Lepisosteus oculatus: one gene and its partner. The protein of the gene in region 1 interacts with the protein of each later gene in a pairwise test. Links are inferred from orthologs where the notes say so. Each region holds a gene or a part of one and is shown on either strand. Other genes may lie near its edges.

Region 1 (7,979 bases):
TCTCGCGAACAGTTAATTCAACTCATTTCTGCTTCCCAAAGAGTTAAGCCTATTACATTTTCTTCATAACAGCCACATTCACCAGCCTGCATCTGGAATTGCGAACCGACTTTAAAAAGCCGAAAAAGACTTTGGATAATCAGACTGTGGTGGAAAGAGGTTTTCAGGCCATAATTTTCCTGTAAAACACTCATTTGTGTTGTCTTGGTTACCCGTTGAGACAGGCCAAACAACAGCTTGCTCTCCCTAAGTGTTGTGGGAGAGCCAGAGGAATGCATGGGAAATGAATCACTGTACAGGCAGCCTCACGGCCCCTTTCAGTCACAGACCGGCTGCCCAGCGAGAGGTGGAAACGCTGAAGTCACTGCCTGCAGCTCAGTGCTGGTTCCTCACCAGACCATCCCTCAAACTGTGCACCTAGGGGCTTTCTGCTGTCTGCACAAAGAGAGCTCCATTCTCCCCTGCATCGGAGAAGAGTGCATACACCCCAACTGTACTGCTGGAATACACTGAGAAACAATGAAAGGGCTTTGTGGTTCCTGTTCCGAGTTCCTACAATTTGTTTGAACAAAGAAAAAAAGAGACAAGACTACTCAAATACGCACACCCGCGGAGAAATAAACAAGACCCAACACTGAGATGCAGTGTCTTCTGTGTTTGCTTGGCAATTACAGAAAATGGTTTTTCCCCACATTTATTGAATCCTCGAATTATTGTAAAAAAACGATAACAGTTCCTTCACTTTCTAAATATCATACACTAATAATTTTTTGTTTAAAAAAAAACTAAAAAAAGCTGAGCACTACAACACAGAGCTAATAACAATATCTAAAAAAAACCTTAGATAAATTGACATATACTGGGTATCATTGCAGATATTGGGTATGGATTATGTACTGAATATATACATATTCATCATGGTTATAGTTTCCCACTAAATGCAGATCTCCACATGTATAAATACTCCTAATGTAGTTTTTGTCTTGAAAGTATAATATTTATACTGAAAAATAACAGTAAAACAAAATGCCCTACCAAAGTAAAATACTCTGCTATTTCTTGCCCTATAAATCTTTTGTTCTTGAGGCACTCTAGCACTATAGAGGCGTTCTGTTTCTCACACTGCAGTGAAAACCACCAACGAGCTCCATATTTGACCACTTTCTTTTGCAGAATGGCATCCTCAGACGAATCTTAAACATTTGTCTGAACCTGCTAATCTTACAGTATATAATCGACATCACCAGTTTACCGCCTGTTGAGGCTGCAGACACTCATTCTGGCGCGAAAATAACTTGATCCTTCAGGGTTCCCCCTCCACCAGGGAACCCACCAGCATTCCTCACATTCCACCACGGTCAAAACTTGTCCGTCCATTCCTCGACGCACTTTAAACTCACTGGTCGACTGGTCTCAGGCTGGCTTAACCTACTAACAATAAGGCTCTTCAGTTTGTGCAGCGCCCAATCTCAAGATAAACACCCTATATACATTTTAATGTAACTAGCAGGTACATTAAAATTAAAAAGGGCAACTTCAATAGCTTTCACTTACTATATATTAGTCTATATTCATATATGACATTCTAGAGGAGGCATTTAGGTTATATATATACATGTGTGTGTAAAATCAAAACATGAAAATCTACCAGATTTAATAGCTGACTAAAATGCGAGGTTATCTCAACGTTATCCAAGCCAAATTCGTCTTCCCTTCCATAATCAGCCGGCCGCCCTGTAGAGGGCGATAGATCTAATCGAGGGGAAACAAAAACTGCAATAAAGGTTCAAAAACGGAACAAAAATCACAACGGGGCCGGTTGAACCCGTTTAAAAACCTAACAAAAAATCTAAATGAACGAATCCCGACTTCTGTTTCTTCGTTCAAACGTTTCTGAAGAGCTGTAGTTGTAAAGATACCATTCAAACGAGAACGCGAACTCCTCTTGCAAATGGATACGCCTAGTTTTTCGTTGAAAGTTTATGCTACAAAATGCTTCTGCATCTCTTTTGACGTTATAAAGGAAACTTAAACTGCCAAACTGAATTCGGACACCCTATATATAGTTGCATATAAAAGACAACATAACCCCGGAGGTGGGGTGGAGACTGAATGCGACAAACTGAATCTGGTGATCGTCAAGTGCCACACCAGCAGCGCCGATATCTAGGGCTACAGCGTTGGAGATGCCAACGTTTTTAACCCTGAAAAGACGATCTTGTTTTAACGGAAACGGGGACAGCTGAGGACATAATCCCTCTCCCGACGGATGCAGTGCGTATCCTTCCCAAGAAAACGTTTTAAAAAAAAAACCCAACAACCCCCTGTCTTAACCGATATTCCTTTTGACAGCTGAAGACCAAGCTGAATCAGCGACTTGCCGAGAAATGTTTCACCGCCTGCGCAACAACGTTGCGGGCAAACATTTCTGTTTGTTTCTTTTTTTTTTTATTACAATGTATCCCGTACCTCTTTGAGCTGGTCGAGCTCCTGTCGGACGGTCTCGTACTCGGCTTCCAGGTCGTCATACTGCTGCTTCAGCTGCTGCTTCTCCTCCAGCACCGCCAGCCCGTACTCGGCAGCCTGGATCTTCTCCCGGGTCGTCTCGCTCAGCTCCCGGGACAGCCGCTCCACCTCCGCCCGGAGCCACTGCGGTCCGGCGTCCGGCACCACCACCGACCCGGGATACTCGTCCACGGACATCTTGATCTCGGCTGGCCGGCGGCACACGCAAGCGGGGTGGGGATCTAAAAGCAGTGAGCAGAGAAGCTTGAACCGGATCCCTCGCCTCTGGAAGGACCGCAAACGCCCCTTCTGATTTTAAAAAAAGGGGGTTTTAAAGTCTTCTGCGTTTGAACTGCATGTTTGCTCTCCTTCCCTAGCAGTTGCTGTATTTCAGCCCTTCCGCTTTTTTTGTTTCATACGCGAAAACCAGCCCTTTTTTTTCTTCTTCCCCCCAGACCGTTATACTGGTCTCTTTTAAATCTAGTTCATGGTTGCGGCTTCTGGTGCCCTGAGCTTCTCCTCCTGCTCAGTTAATACTGATGGGAGGGGGGGCTGCGGACTGTCGTGAAGTCATCCCCTGGGATGCGCTCCAAGGGAGCGTTGGCGCATACCGGGAGATGCAGTGCTCTTGTCGGCTGTAACTACAGCGCGACGGGTCAAAAGAACTCCAACTCCCATGATCCACTGCTAGTTTGTACATGTGGACAGCTCACTCGCTGCCAGAAGCTGTAACGCTCGCTTTGACTACTATATGGAATATGTGGAGGGCGGCAGAAGCCCGAAGAGTGAGCGGTAGCGCCACCTTCAGGTTAAAAAAAAAAACGGATATTTTATACCGCTGTCTGCATTTACAGGCAGGCCCGGTCAGAGATGAGCTACGGTGCGTGGAAAACTGCATTTGGGAATTGGTATTTAGAGTCCTTCGGTAGTATTAAGTCGTTAAACCTGATTGCATTCGAGCGTGTGTTCAATGACAAGGAAACGATTTTATTATCGGTTACAGTTTTGTAAATGAACATAACGAATACCGATTTGTCTTATTGAGCTCTTCATTATAAATATATCAAATGTATTGTATTTAACCTATACCTTGCATATTACGAAAGCAGACCAAAAGTAGATTATGTCAACGAGGGTAAATCAGTACTTCGTAATGTATCTGACGAAGGTTTGCGTTCGAGATCTTGTACACGTTTGACTTCGAAACCACAGAGTTTAAAGAATTATCTTTCACGTTTCCACTACTACAAGGATTTAAATTATGCACTGCCAGTAGAACGTCATTAACTGTGATGTGGTGTAGTATCATAATAATTAATTGCATTGTATGTCGTGTTTTCATCCCAAAGGATCCCAAAGCACTTTACACATAAGAGGGGACTCACTTTGGCACCTGGATGCCATTATCTGCCACTATACCGCAGGTCAGTTGAAGAAGTGAGAAGTTACTTGTAAAATCCCTGAGCGCGATTTAATTTGAATCCCAGGGTGAACAACACCCGTACTCTTACAAACAGCGCCCAGTGATCCTTAATGACCACGTATCTAAGACTACCGTCTTACATCTCAGCAGCAGGATGACACTTGTTACTGCAGTTCTGACACGTGGGAATTGATGGTACAATCCCTTAGAGATGGGGAGCGCACCACTGTTTCTTGCCTTAATCGTGAGTCTTGAGGCGGGGGCTGGGGGCGACATGTCTTTGGGGTTTCAGTGGGCACCTTCCATCATCAGTGCATTGTCTATGAGCCCACAACATCTCCAGAAGTCTCCACAGTGGTTCTGGCGTCCCAGACCCACCCCCAACCCCCTCTCTATGCCTGCCCAGCCTTTTTTTTTACTGTTTACTTGGGGGGCCTGCAGGGGTCACTGGTCTTCAGGCAGAGACAAGTTCCTGGTCACCATACTGTGGGCTCTCATTTGGAAATTCTGGTCTAGAGAGGAAAGAGCACCACCTAGTGGTCCACCAACATTTTATTCTGCTAGATTCCCATTCTTGCAACTCCAGGATGTTGTACAATGTCATTTGGCTGAACAACTTACATAGTGCCTCTAAGCAAGTTACCTCTCTCAGTTTGCTCCATTAAATAACCTCAGAGGAAAATTGGTACATTCCAATTTGAGTCCCATCATTGTAAATTATTTGGTTAAATAAATTGGGATCTGACCTTGCTCGTCACTAGCAGGATAAGAAACTACAAATTTGGATACCGCTCTTCAGAAAATATAGCATCAGGCCGAGTGAAAGCGAAAAAGGAGAATATTCTTTTTCTTTTGTAATTTGGTGAGAACACAAACCTTAGACTGATACAGTACATCGACTTTGAAAACTGAAGGTCTTTTGTTATGTTTAAAAAGCAAAAGGAAATATTCTGCCAGTGCTGGGTAAAAGTCTGATTCAAACAAGTCGATGATTACATTTCCTTAACCAAAATTAAATAGATCCACCCACTGTAGAAGAAGCAAGAATACTCTGATTAAATCTAAACACTCCACTGCAAGACACTGCTTTCCTATAACATAAACATGTTTTCTGAACTCTCATCATTCTGATATAACTACTGTTATGGCTATGAAACTATGAGATATAGCAGCCTTATATTGTACATTCATATACATGGCATATATCATGAGATATCCTGTACAGTTATTGTTTCCCTTTTCCCACAGTAGTCACAGATGTATTTGCTTTTTGTAAGTTGATGTCTGTGTTTGCTGAAGATTGCCATTCTTGTATTTCTGACAGCTGCGTTTTCTGAGTCTCCCTTTGCAGTCTGTCAGCTTTGCTTCATTATTCGGGTTCTTCCCAGTCAGATGTCATGACATGCCAAAATTTGCTACTACAGAAATATCCAAGACATGCAGCTGTGGTTCTCCAGAAGTCTGTATTCTGAGCAGCAGCTGCAGTCCTTTCTTTGCCAAAATACCTAGCTGTTCATCAGATATTTCAACCAGAGCCACCCCCACACATCGCCACCCTCATATTGTGACGATATTGTGAAAACCATTTAGAAACACATATATTATGAAGTAAATATTTAGAATCATACACATACCGTATTAGTAAAATGAGAAAGACACACGTAAATGTTTTCAACGATCGAATGGGTAAGACTATGGGGGATATTTGCAACGCAATCAATGAAAAAACTGCTGAAAAGTGTAGGTCTGATAATTAGCATAAATCAAGAATATGCAAATCATAAATCAAGGACAAACTGCGCTGTAGCTGTATTGTAATTATGCATTCTTTTAACCCTCCCTGCTTCCCAATTAAGTTCATAAACCCCAGCTTGAGGGCTCACAGCAATTTACATTTTAAGATTTATCTAAACAAACATCATGAATGTATAACAGACTAAACATATCCAAGCAGGGCTGATATGGAGTGGTACATAGCGTGTGATCTGGAAGGCATTGTGTGGGACCAAGAGAAAAGATGTACATGGATGGGTAAAATTGATAATGCAGAGTGGAAAATTGTAACATACTCTGCATAAGATTCTACAGATGGTGCCCAGAGCTCTTTGCCTCAGTGAGTTCATCCAATTCACGTTTTAATTATTTTTCTCCCATTTTAATTATTTTCTCCCATGTGTGGGTGTTGGCAGACAGCAGTTTTCTGAATGGCTGCTCAATATTTAAAGCATAGATTTTGGAAGTGCTCATCAGTTGTTTCAGGTGGATATAATACATATAAATTGTAAATAAGTAGATATGGTATTGTGAAACGCCGAGAGCAGTATATGCTGACAGAAAATCAAGTCTGCTGCCGTCTGCCAGAGGAAAAATGTCCTGACAGAGGACGTGCAGTACACTGGGCAGCATATGGCATGCAAACAGTCACAACCACACCTCAGTGTGAGTGAAGCTTCTATAGATCAGTGCCTTTACCTGCTTAAGTGGCAGGTAAGAAAAGCATTTTAATGACTGCTGTACTTGCATTTTTACATTTTTTCCTCAACTAAATGCCGCACTTAGTAAGCAGTGTTTGTAGTTCTATATGTGTTTGCAAGACGTGCATCCCATACAGTAAACATAACATAAATAAAATGTAAAGTAAGGGAACGGTTTACATGGGTGTAATGTAAGTGTAATTGTATTCCTCAAACATATAATATACTTTTACAATTCATCAAAGTTAACTGTCCGATGTCCGATGGGTTGTGGCAGGTTTCATGGAGCTGTAGGTAACTTGAAAACAGGTAAGGGACTGCTGAAAAACTAAAGCAATTTGTTTCTTTGAAACAGGAAACATGCACACACCCATCATCACTTGAGGAAAGCAGCAGTGTGGAGTACTGGTTGGTGCTCCAGACCAGAGGACTGTGGGTTCAGTTGCTGCTTTCAAGGCCCTGCTGTATATACAGGTCTCCAGGTCGTCACTGAAAATGAGTGTTTGTTCTCAACTAACTTAGTTCTAGGTTTAAAAAAAATTAGATAGATTTAAAAAAAGAAAATAATTTTAAACCTTTCTTTATGTAATAAAATACATGAAACACTTAATAACTCATAGATTCTGTCACAAAGCATGAGTTGGTATAGTATGTCCTGCCTTTCACCTAGAGGCTGTGTGATAATGGATTCTCTGGACCTGTTTTCTGTTCCTGGTTACACGTCATGTATTTTGCTGTGAATTAAACATCATGACCATTTAAAACCTCGTTTATCACTGTATGCACCAATTACTACACTACATAGCGTATGAGTTATGAACAACAAAGTATATGTATTATTGCTTGTTTGATGTGGGGGTTCCAACCACATTAAAATAAAACACAAACCACAGTTTAGCCCAAGCCTTCATGATGTTTGGTGTCCAAAATGTCCCAGTTGTTCATTTGGGTAAATGTCAAAGAAAGATATTGTTCTTATTTAATTAACGATGCACTAAATCCTTAATACGTTGTCAAGTCAAGTCAATAGCTTTAGCAGTTTGACCCTTTCCCTTACAAAAAAATAAAGACTGGGACTATGTAGGGAAAAGCAAACTCATCCATCAGTGAAAGACATCTACTGATGAAGATCTCTTCTATGCACTGTAGTTCTTCCTGGCATACTGCATGTAATGCCAGAGAATCTGAAATAAATGAAGAAAATGTGAAAGGCCTTCAGAATGTGGTGTGAAAACTGTTTTATGTACCTAGGTGTTGGGTATTTGAGATTTTAACTTTCCTTCTTTTAGCAACAGCTTAAGTAATTTATCTCAGTTATTAATAAAGTCCGGCTTGAAAACGAATTACAACCATTTGAATTCAGATCGTGCACATTTTTAAGCTCTCATGTCTGCAAACCAGGCTCTTCTGAACGAAACAGGAAGACAGCGGCTGTGAGGCTGACAGCACTGGGCTTATGAGTCCTCAGTGGGATTTGCTCACATCCCTTGATATGGCTGGAGTATACAGTGTGGACCATGAAGAAGCTGTTACATCCAGGGACAGCATTCTGTGCTCCAACACGCTTCTCCATCATT
Region 2 (6,865 bases), on another chromosome or scaffold:
GGGTTCCCAGGCCTTGTCCCAGAAAGCCATAAACACGCTGGTTTTGTTCCAGCTGAGCTGAGTTTGATTTCAAATTGATATTAGGTCAATTAAGGGATCAATTCTGTAACAGAGACCAGGAAGTACCAGTGACTCCTCTCACCTGATGTACTGTGCAGGGGCTTGCTTATCGGCTGCCCGCACAGGCATGGCTGCCGCGATCTTCTGCGATACCTGCTTGTCCAAGGCAGACCTGGTCTTCTCTGTCAGCTGCATCAAAACAATTGTTTTCCCTTCAGTTTGAAGACACTATTTCAAAATGGGCTCCAAGGTAAAATGTGGATGGACTGATAAGTGGTAATATTCATATCAAAGTCCAAAGCCTCAGGTCCAGGGAATAAAAGCTGTCTTTATTGAGAACATGTTAATTTATCACTGACCATGAAACAAAAGCAAGCGGGAAGAATTAGGAGTCAGCAATCAAAGTGCTTCTTCTTCCCAGTGCAGTTTAATCTGGACAAAATACGCACCTCTCTAACCGCTTCTTCATCAGGCCTCTGCAGGTCTGGGTCATCTTCATTCATAACTTCCTTAGGAAGCAAATCCGTGAACTTGCTGTATATCACCTAAAAGCAATTAAAAACAAGAACATTCTGGTTGCCAGTGCTGCACATTTAAGAAGAACATGCTTAAAACATCATTTGCGCTAATCTACCAATGTAAACAAGGCATCTCTGGCAAGCAGATGAGTAGTTGCATCACTCTACGTTATAAAGAATACATTTAGGGTATAACGACTGAATTTGCAATCGTTTTTCTTGCTTAACAGTTCCTTTAGGACTTTAAAAACAGAAGTTAACCAAAACCGGCGGGTTTATCTCCCTGTGCAGCCAGGATGTTTGTGATGCTGCGACATTTGAAAACACGGTACCATACCTTATCCTTGCCCTGCCCTTGCCTTGCAATGGCATCATATTTGACCTTTCCCTCCGCATCCACCTGCAGCGCCAGAGCATTCGAGGTCTTCTTCTTCCTGCCCATTTCCAGTGGGTACTGGGCCACATGGATCTCAGGGAAAGCACCGCCATCTCCAAAATCCTGGGAATGAGTTCAAAAACAGTATGTGTATTAGTGGGTCTGTGTTAGTCCCCTGAAGCTACTGATGAGGTCACCTTGGAAAGTTTGGAAATCAATACTCACCTGCTGATCCACACAGTGGATAAGATATTAAATCTAAGTCTGACAATTTGGTTATTAAAAAGTGGTGTTAACACTGTGTCTCAGATAAGCCATCTCTCAGCACGCCACTTGCTGATGTGCTGTGCAATGGGGCGGAAAGCAATAGATAAGTATAAGGAATAATGTACAGTATTGTAGGGAAAGTCTCAATACCCAGGGCAGCATGGGACTTTTAACATCATATCATGCTTAAAGGGTTTTCCGTCAATTCAGAGGAAAAAAACACAAAAGAAATAGTTTGGAAACAAATGCGAGTTATAATTGTATTCAATGCCCGGTTTCAGTATTGTACTTTTAGTCTTAAAAAAAGAAAATAGCAAGCACGCTCAACACTAGTACTCAAAATTGTGAGACAAGCTCTGTGGATTTCTTCGGAAGCCACAATGAAACGTTAACCACGAGACACAAGCAGAAACGGCAGGGGAGTGCATTTAAAACTGAGAAGGAGAAGCATGTCTTTACTCAATGAGTGGTGGGAGTGTGAAACAAGCCACTCGCTATATGTTGATATCCATACCCTGGCAGGGAGATGCTAGGTACGGACCAACTAGCACATACCTACTGGACCGGCTGAACGGCAAGCTCATGAATCACACAGGTTAAGCAGATGCAGACATTTAGCAAGGCAGGCAGCCCGAGTAGCTGCAGCAGAATTACCTCCAGCGTCCTGGGAATCCAGCCTTTCCGGTAGCCGTACGGCGGCGGCTCTCTGCGGGAGGACACCAGCGCGGTGGACGGGGGCCTCTGAGAGCGGTGCCCATCCTCCGCCTCCAGCTGGTCCTGGGTCAGCTGTGTCGGGGCCGGTAAAAAGCTGCAACCCAAAACACATTCCCCGATCAGCGCTCCCACTAACAACCAGTGCACCAAGCAAAAAAACAAACAGGGGCTTGAGGTGTTTTAAAGATGAACTGAGAGTAACTGTAATCTCCACAAACTGCGGTTACACACTAAAGGACAAAGGATAAAGCGTCCCATTGTGAGACTTTTTATTACAGACGACCACTTCACAACAAGTGGGCGGAGCAATGATTCTGTGGCTCGGGATCAGCGCCTGTGGCTGGAAGGTTGCTGGTTCAAATCCTGCGGCCGGCAGAGGAATCCTACTCCGCTGGGCCCCTGATTAAGGCCCTTAACCCCAACTGCTCCAGGGTCTGACCCTGCGCTCTGACCCCCAGCTTCTCTCCCTGTCTGTGTGTCTCATGGAGAGCAAGCTGGGGTGTGCGAAAAGACAAATACCTAATGCAAGAAACTGTATTTGGCCAATAAAGTGATCTCATCTCTCCTCAGCACGGAACACTGCTGACCCCTCACTTCAAACTCACACCATACAGCTGTAAACCGATCCGGCTCAAGAAACCGAGGCGCAGCCAGACAGCGAGAGCCGGCAGTTCAAACAGCTAAACACCGTGGAGTCAGCCAATGATAGGGATTCCTACATATAATCACATACGTTGAGAATAACATTCGAAAAGGTACTGAATAAACCTCTCTCTCCCGGAGGCCAGGAGATAAATAAGGCCCGCAGGACGGGCCCGGAACTGCGCAGAGCGACCCGAGCGGGAACGGAGGCATAAATCACTTTATTGCTTTCGCATATTACCAGAAAGGAATTGCAAACAAACGTGTTAGTATTCTTGATCGCGAGATACTGTCGTACACACAATAATCGCCGTTTAGTCCCAAAACAAGCTCTGTCGTACACAGCTCACCTCGCCAGCGACATCTTGTTTCCCCGGAATGTGGCGTTTGACGTCACCACGCGCTTCCTTGCGTCACGTCGCAGGCTTAACCTCCGGCAGTTGTACAGTTTCCACTAATTACACAACCTTGTGATTCAGTAGCGGACAAGACGCGCTTGCAAATACGCGTAGAATGCCTGTCATATTTAACATTACTAAAAATAAATCAGTCCCGTTGGTGAATATCGATTCAGAGTAATCTTTTGAATAAAAAAATAAAACGAGACTGCCCCGATCATCAACTACATTGTCCAGGGTGCCTTGCGCAGAGCAGGTCGAGAATAATTGAGGTCGGGAGTTGAGAGGTCGTCTGGACCGGTAAGTGAATGGGAATTTACTTGCACAAATGTGCATAATAAACGTAAGCAAGTGTTGTATGTGTGCACTTTGTGCGTATTTCATAACAAGACAAAATGATTTGCTTTTTGGTGCATTTATTTTGTAGCGTCTTTTGTATTTGTACATATCGTTAGTGTTACAAAACCTTCAACTTACATAATGTCAATGGCATGGCACTGCACTGCACTGCTCATGAAATGCAGTACAACTCCGATACCTTTCTTAAACATCCTTAATGAAAAGCCTTGTTGCTGCTGTAATGTTACAGGTTGTTTCTGAACGTTTAGTTCATGTATGATGTCGTGTGTCTTCACCACTGGCGACATGAACTGCCATCCACACAGTGTGACTGTAGCCATCAGTACTGAAAGCAACACACAAATGACAACAATGGGAAAACGATTCGTGATATACGAAGACCAATTACCATAATTAAATATGATGATGGTCAGTATTATTTGTTTAGCGACTTAGTAAAGTGCTGCGCTCACTGCTGAATAGTACTACTTGCAGGAGGTTCTCTGAAATGCCTTTCTGATTCGTAACGTTAAACTCAAGGCAAGGTCCCTTTCTCTGAAACTCTACATGTATTGTAACCTTTTTCTGTTGTGTATTATGTTGGTCAGTAAGAGTATTTCCAATGTTAGTGTTCAGAATTTGTGTTATAATGCCATAAATGTTACTGCTTGCTCATGCATGGGCAGAGACGGGTGCTGTTCCCATACAACAATACAACACCCTGATGCAGAGACACAATCTTTGCTAATTCTCCCTCCAACTGCTCAAGCATGTGAAAGCAGTGCTCAGGGACCCTCTACTTCCTTCCTTCATCATCCTACACGGGAAGTATGCTCTGCAGGCAGGTAAAAGACTCAGTGCACCTTTGATAGGACGTGAACTAACAAATAAGAAACATGCATAAGATGAAAAAACACCACAAAAGCTATGGTCGAATTTCTTTGACTGATTATATTTTTTTTATTTTATCTTAATATTACTGAATATGCTGATAAAGAGTGGAAGATCATAGCAAAAAAAGAGAAAATGAAGTACGTAGAGCAGCACACAGTCCTTGCAGCTGCGTGTCAGAGGCTGTCTGCAGAGACGGGGAGTGGTATATCACTGAAATATTGCACGAGGTAATCCGGGCTGATTGCAGGCCTGAACTGGATGCAGCCAAGCCTGTTTCAGTACAGTATGATAAATGAAGAATGAGCCAGGGCTGCAGAGCGCTTTTTTCAGATGTAAAGGCCACTCATCTTTAGTGGCTTGTGAGGAATGGCCCTGCAGGCTCATGACAAAGCAGACCAAGGTGTCACAGCCCTCAGTACCGACACACTCCCACCTGTCCTGTTGCCTTACTCATTGCAACACCCTCATCCATGCATCATCATGCTTAAATGTGTTTTAACCCGTGGAGTAATACTACTTTTTAATATACAATGGGTCTTGACAGAAGCAGCTTCTGGGAGTAAGATTGTTCAGGGTGAAGTAACTGCCGGTAAATGAAGCAGCTGATTGTGTCAGAAATGTGTATGTTCATCATCGCAGCCCCGTTTGTACTGGAGCTTCGCAGCTGGCGTGGGCAGTGCTGTGGGAGAACAGAGCGTGTGCTTCCTCCTCTCCACATTGCAGTGCCCTCATGGCTGGACGGCTGCTGAAGGTCTCCTCGCTGGCCACGGCCCTGTTGGCCTCTTCGGGGTTCTGCTGGTATCACAGGCCTGTGGATCTCAATGACATCAGCTTCATCCGGTTCGGAAGAGCTGCGGTCACGGTAGGTTCCTGTCGACTTTCATCTATTGCACCAAAAATAGCAAGGTGGGCCAGGCGGCTTCTTCTTCCTCGTGTTTGTAACCTGTGGTGCGTCCTTGATACATAAGAAACAAATATGAAGAAGAGGAGGCTAAATTACTATGGCCCATCTATGGCCCAGCATCTATGCTATTGGCCCATCTGAACTTCAGTAATGAAGATGGTGTGTGTTTATTCACGCGGGATCTGTCATTCCCAGCATAAGTGCCGTACCTTGCAAGTCTGGACCAAATAACACCCAGCTGCGAGTTAACAGATGAGCTGCCCTTTGCTACTTTATGAGAAACATTTGGCAAAGCAACTCCACTGTTTTTTTTATCACCAAAACTCTTTGGGAAACTGTTGGTAGGGTAGTGCTGAATGCTAACCTTTGTAGAGGAGGACACCCAGCCTGTGGGAGCTGTTATGATTTAATTTAGCTCATGTGTGCTGGATTAAATACAATTGATAGTAGTAGCTGTGCCATGAGAGGGTTTCTAGATTGAAGACAGGTGGCTTGTTTAGAAATAACACAGCTCAGACATTTGCCAGTTGTCCAGGAGTGGATATGTACATTGAAAATGGCCAATAAGCCTGTGATTACTTAAGTGGCTTGTGGACAGTCCCAGAGAGTTCCCACTGTTCTGTTCCTCCTTGAAGAAAGAGAGCGTCTGGGACTCGGAGGGCAGGAGATGGAGGAAAAGGCAGACCACCCACAGTCAGCACAGAGCAGCCGATAGAGGGCAGCTGGGCTCAGGTTGTCAAAGGACGTACAGCCCATCCTGACACTCCCACCCAACAACTCGTCATCACCAGACACTCTGGCAGTGGACTTGGAAGTACAGGGTCAAGATTGGACACCTCTGAGTAGCAGAAAACATGATCACAGATACTGGAGTCCACTGCACAGCTGTTATAAAGCCTTCAGTCTGTGACAGAGCCACCAGAAATGCATAGAATATGGCAGTGGTGGCTGTTGGAGGCGCTGTTATCAGACAAACTGCAAGTGAAACGAGACATGTGGATCCCGGGTCAGTAAGAGTGAGCCACAATGCCTGCCATTCTCCAGACTGCTGATGGGGCTGACTGGTGCCTAGCAAAGGCAGGAGAGGAGCCAGTTCTTGTTTGTCCATGTTGGGAGAAATGACACTGGCATGAACAGCACACTTCGCACACCAAACACATTCAGAGTTACTCAGAGAGAAACGCAGGCTCTAGTTAGGTTCAACCTTTCTAGCTTCTACATTTTCATGTGGAACTGTCGTAGGACAGTTTCCAATCTGCTTTTTCTTGTAAGGACAGTCGTCATGGAGGCTGGTATGCTAAGAAGAGACAGTAATGTGGGATTTACTATACAGTGCGTTAGGAGTGTAGTATAGTCTGAAGCTATTTCCTACTAAGAATTTGGTTATTGTTTTTTTTTTACATAAAGATAACCAAAAGGATGACTTGACATTAATTCCGCATGTGCTGCCTCTTTAACCTACTGTTCATTGTAGAAAGTGTTTATCCAATATCTACAGAAGCACTGTTAGGTTAATATCCCTGTACCTTTCCATTGTAGACCGCAGTTATCAGTTACGACTACTTCACATCTCTCCGAAGATTTGAATATGGGACCGAGGAATACAGCGCTGCCAAGTCAGAGGTAAGTAAGATTTCACAAGAGCTCTTACTGTGTGATATGCATTTTGTTCATTTTAATGACATTTTGTTGATAAAATTCAAAGATAACTTTTATTTAGGATAGAATTTTTGTAGAGAACCGATTTGAAATT

What was found. The genes of interacting proteins can lie anywhere in the genome.
Region 2: the proteins of protein bicaudal D homolog 2 (region 1) and snw1 interact in binary tests that used the Homo sapiens proteins (3 or more experiments, as listed by UniProt). The link is inferred for Lepisosteus oculatus from reciprocal best matches to the Homo sapiens genes BICD2 and SNW1.

Annotation. Positions count from the first base shown.
Region 1 is NC_090699.1:63,445,054-63,453,032, forward strand, and holds the start of protein bicaudal D homolog 2, read right to left. Parts: upstream 3,020-7,979; 5' UTR 2,704-3,019; coding exon 2,470-2,703; intron 1-2,469. UniProt on the Homo sapiens protein: Acts as an adapter protein linking the dynein motor complex to various cargos and converts dynein from a non-processive to a highly processive motor in the presence of dynactin.
Region 2 is NC_090703.1:2,093,341-2,100,205, forward strand, and holds the start of snw1 (SNW domain-containing protein 1), read right to left. Parts: upstream 3,017-6,865; 5' UTR 2,942-3,016; coding exon 2,928-2,941; intron 2,030-2,927; coding exon 1,876-2,029; intron 1,078-1,875; coding exon 916-1,077; intron 606-915; coding exon 510-605; intron 250-509; coding exon 143-249; intron 1-142. Other genes in the region: adck1 (aarF domain-containing protein kinase 1), read left to right, coding at 4,939-5,070, 6,652-6,735. UniProt on the Homo sapiens protein: Involved in pre-mRNA splicing as component of the spliceosome. As a component of the minor spliceosome, involved in the splicing of U12-type introns in pre-mRNAs.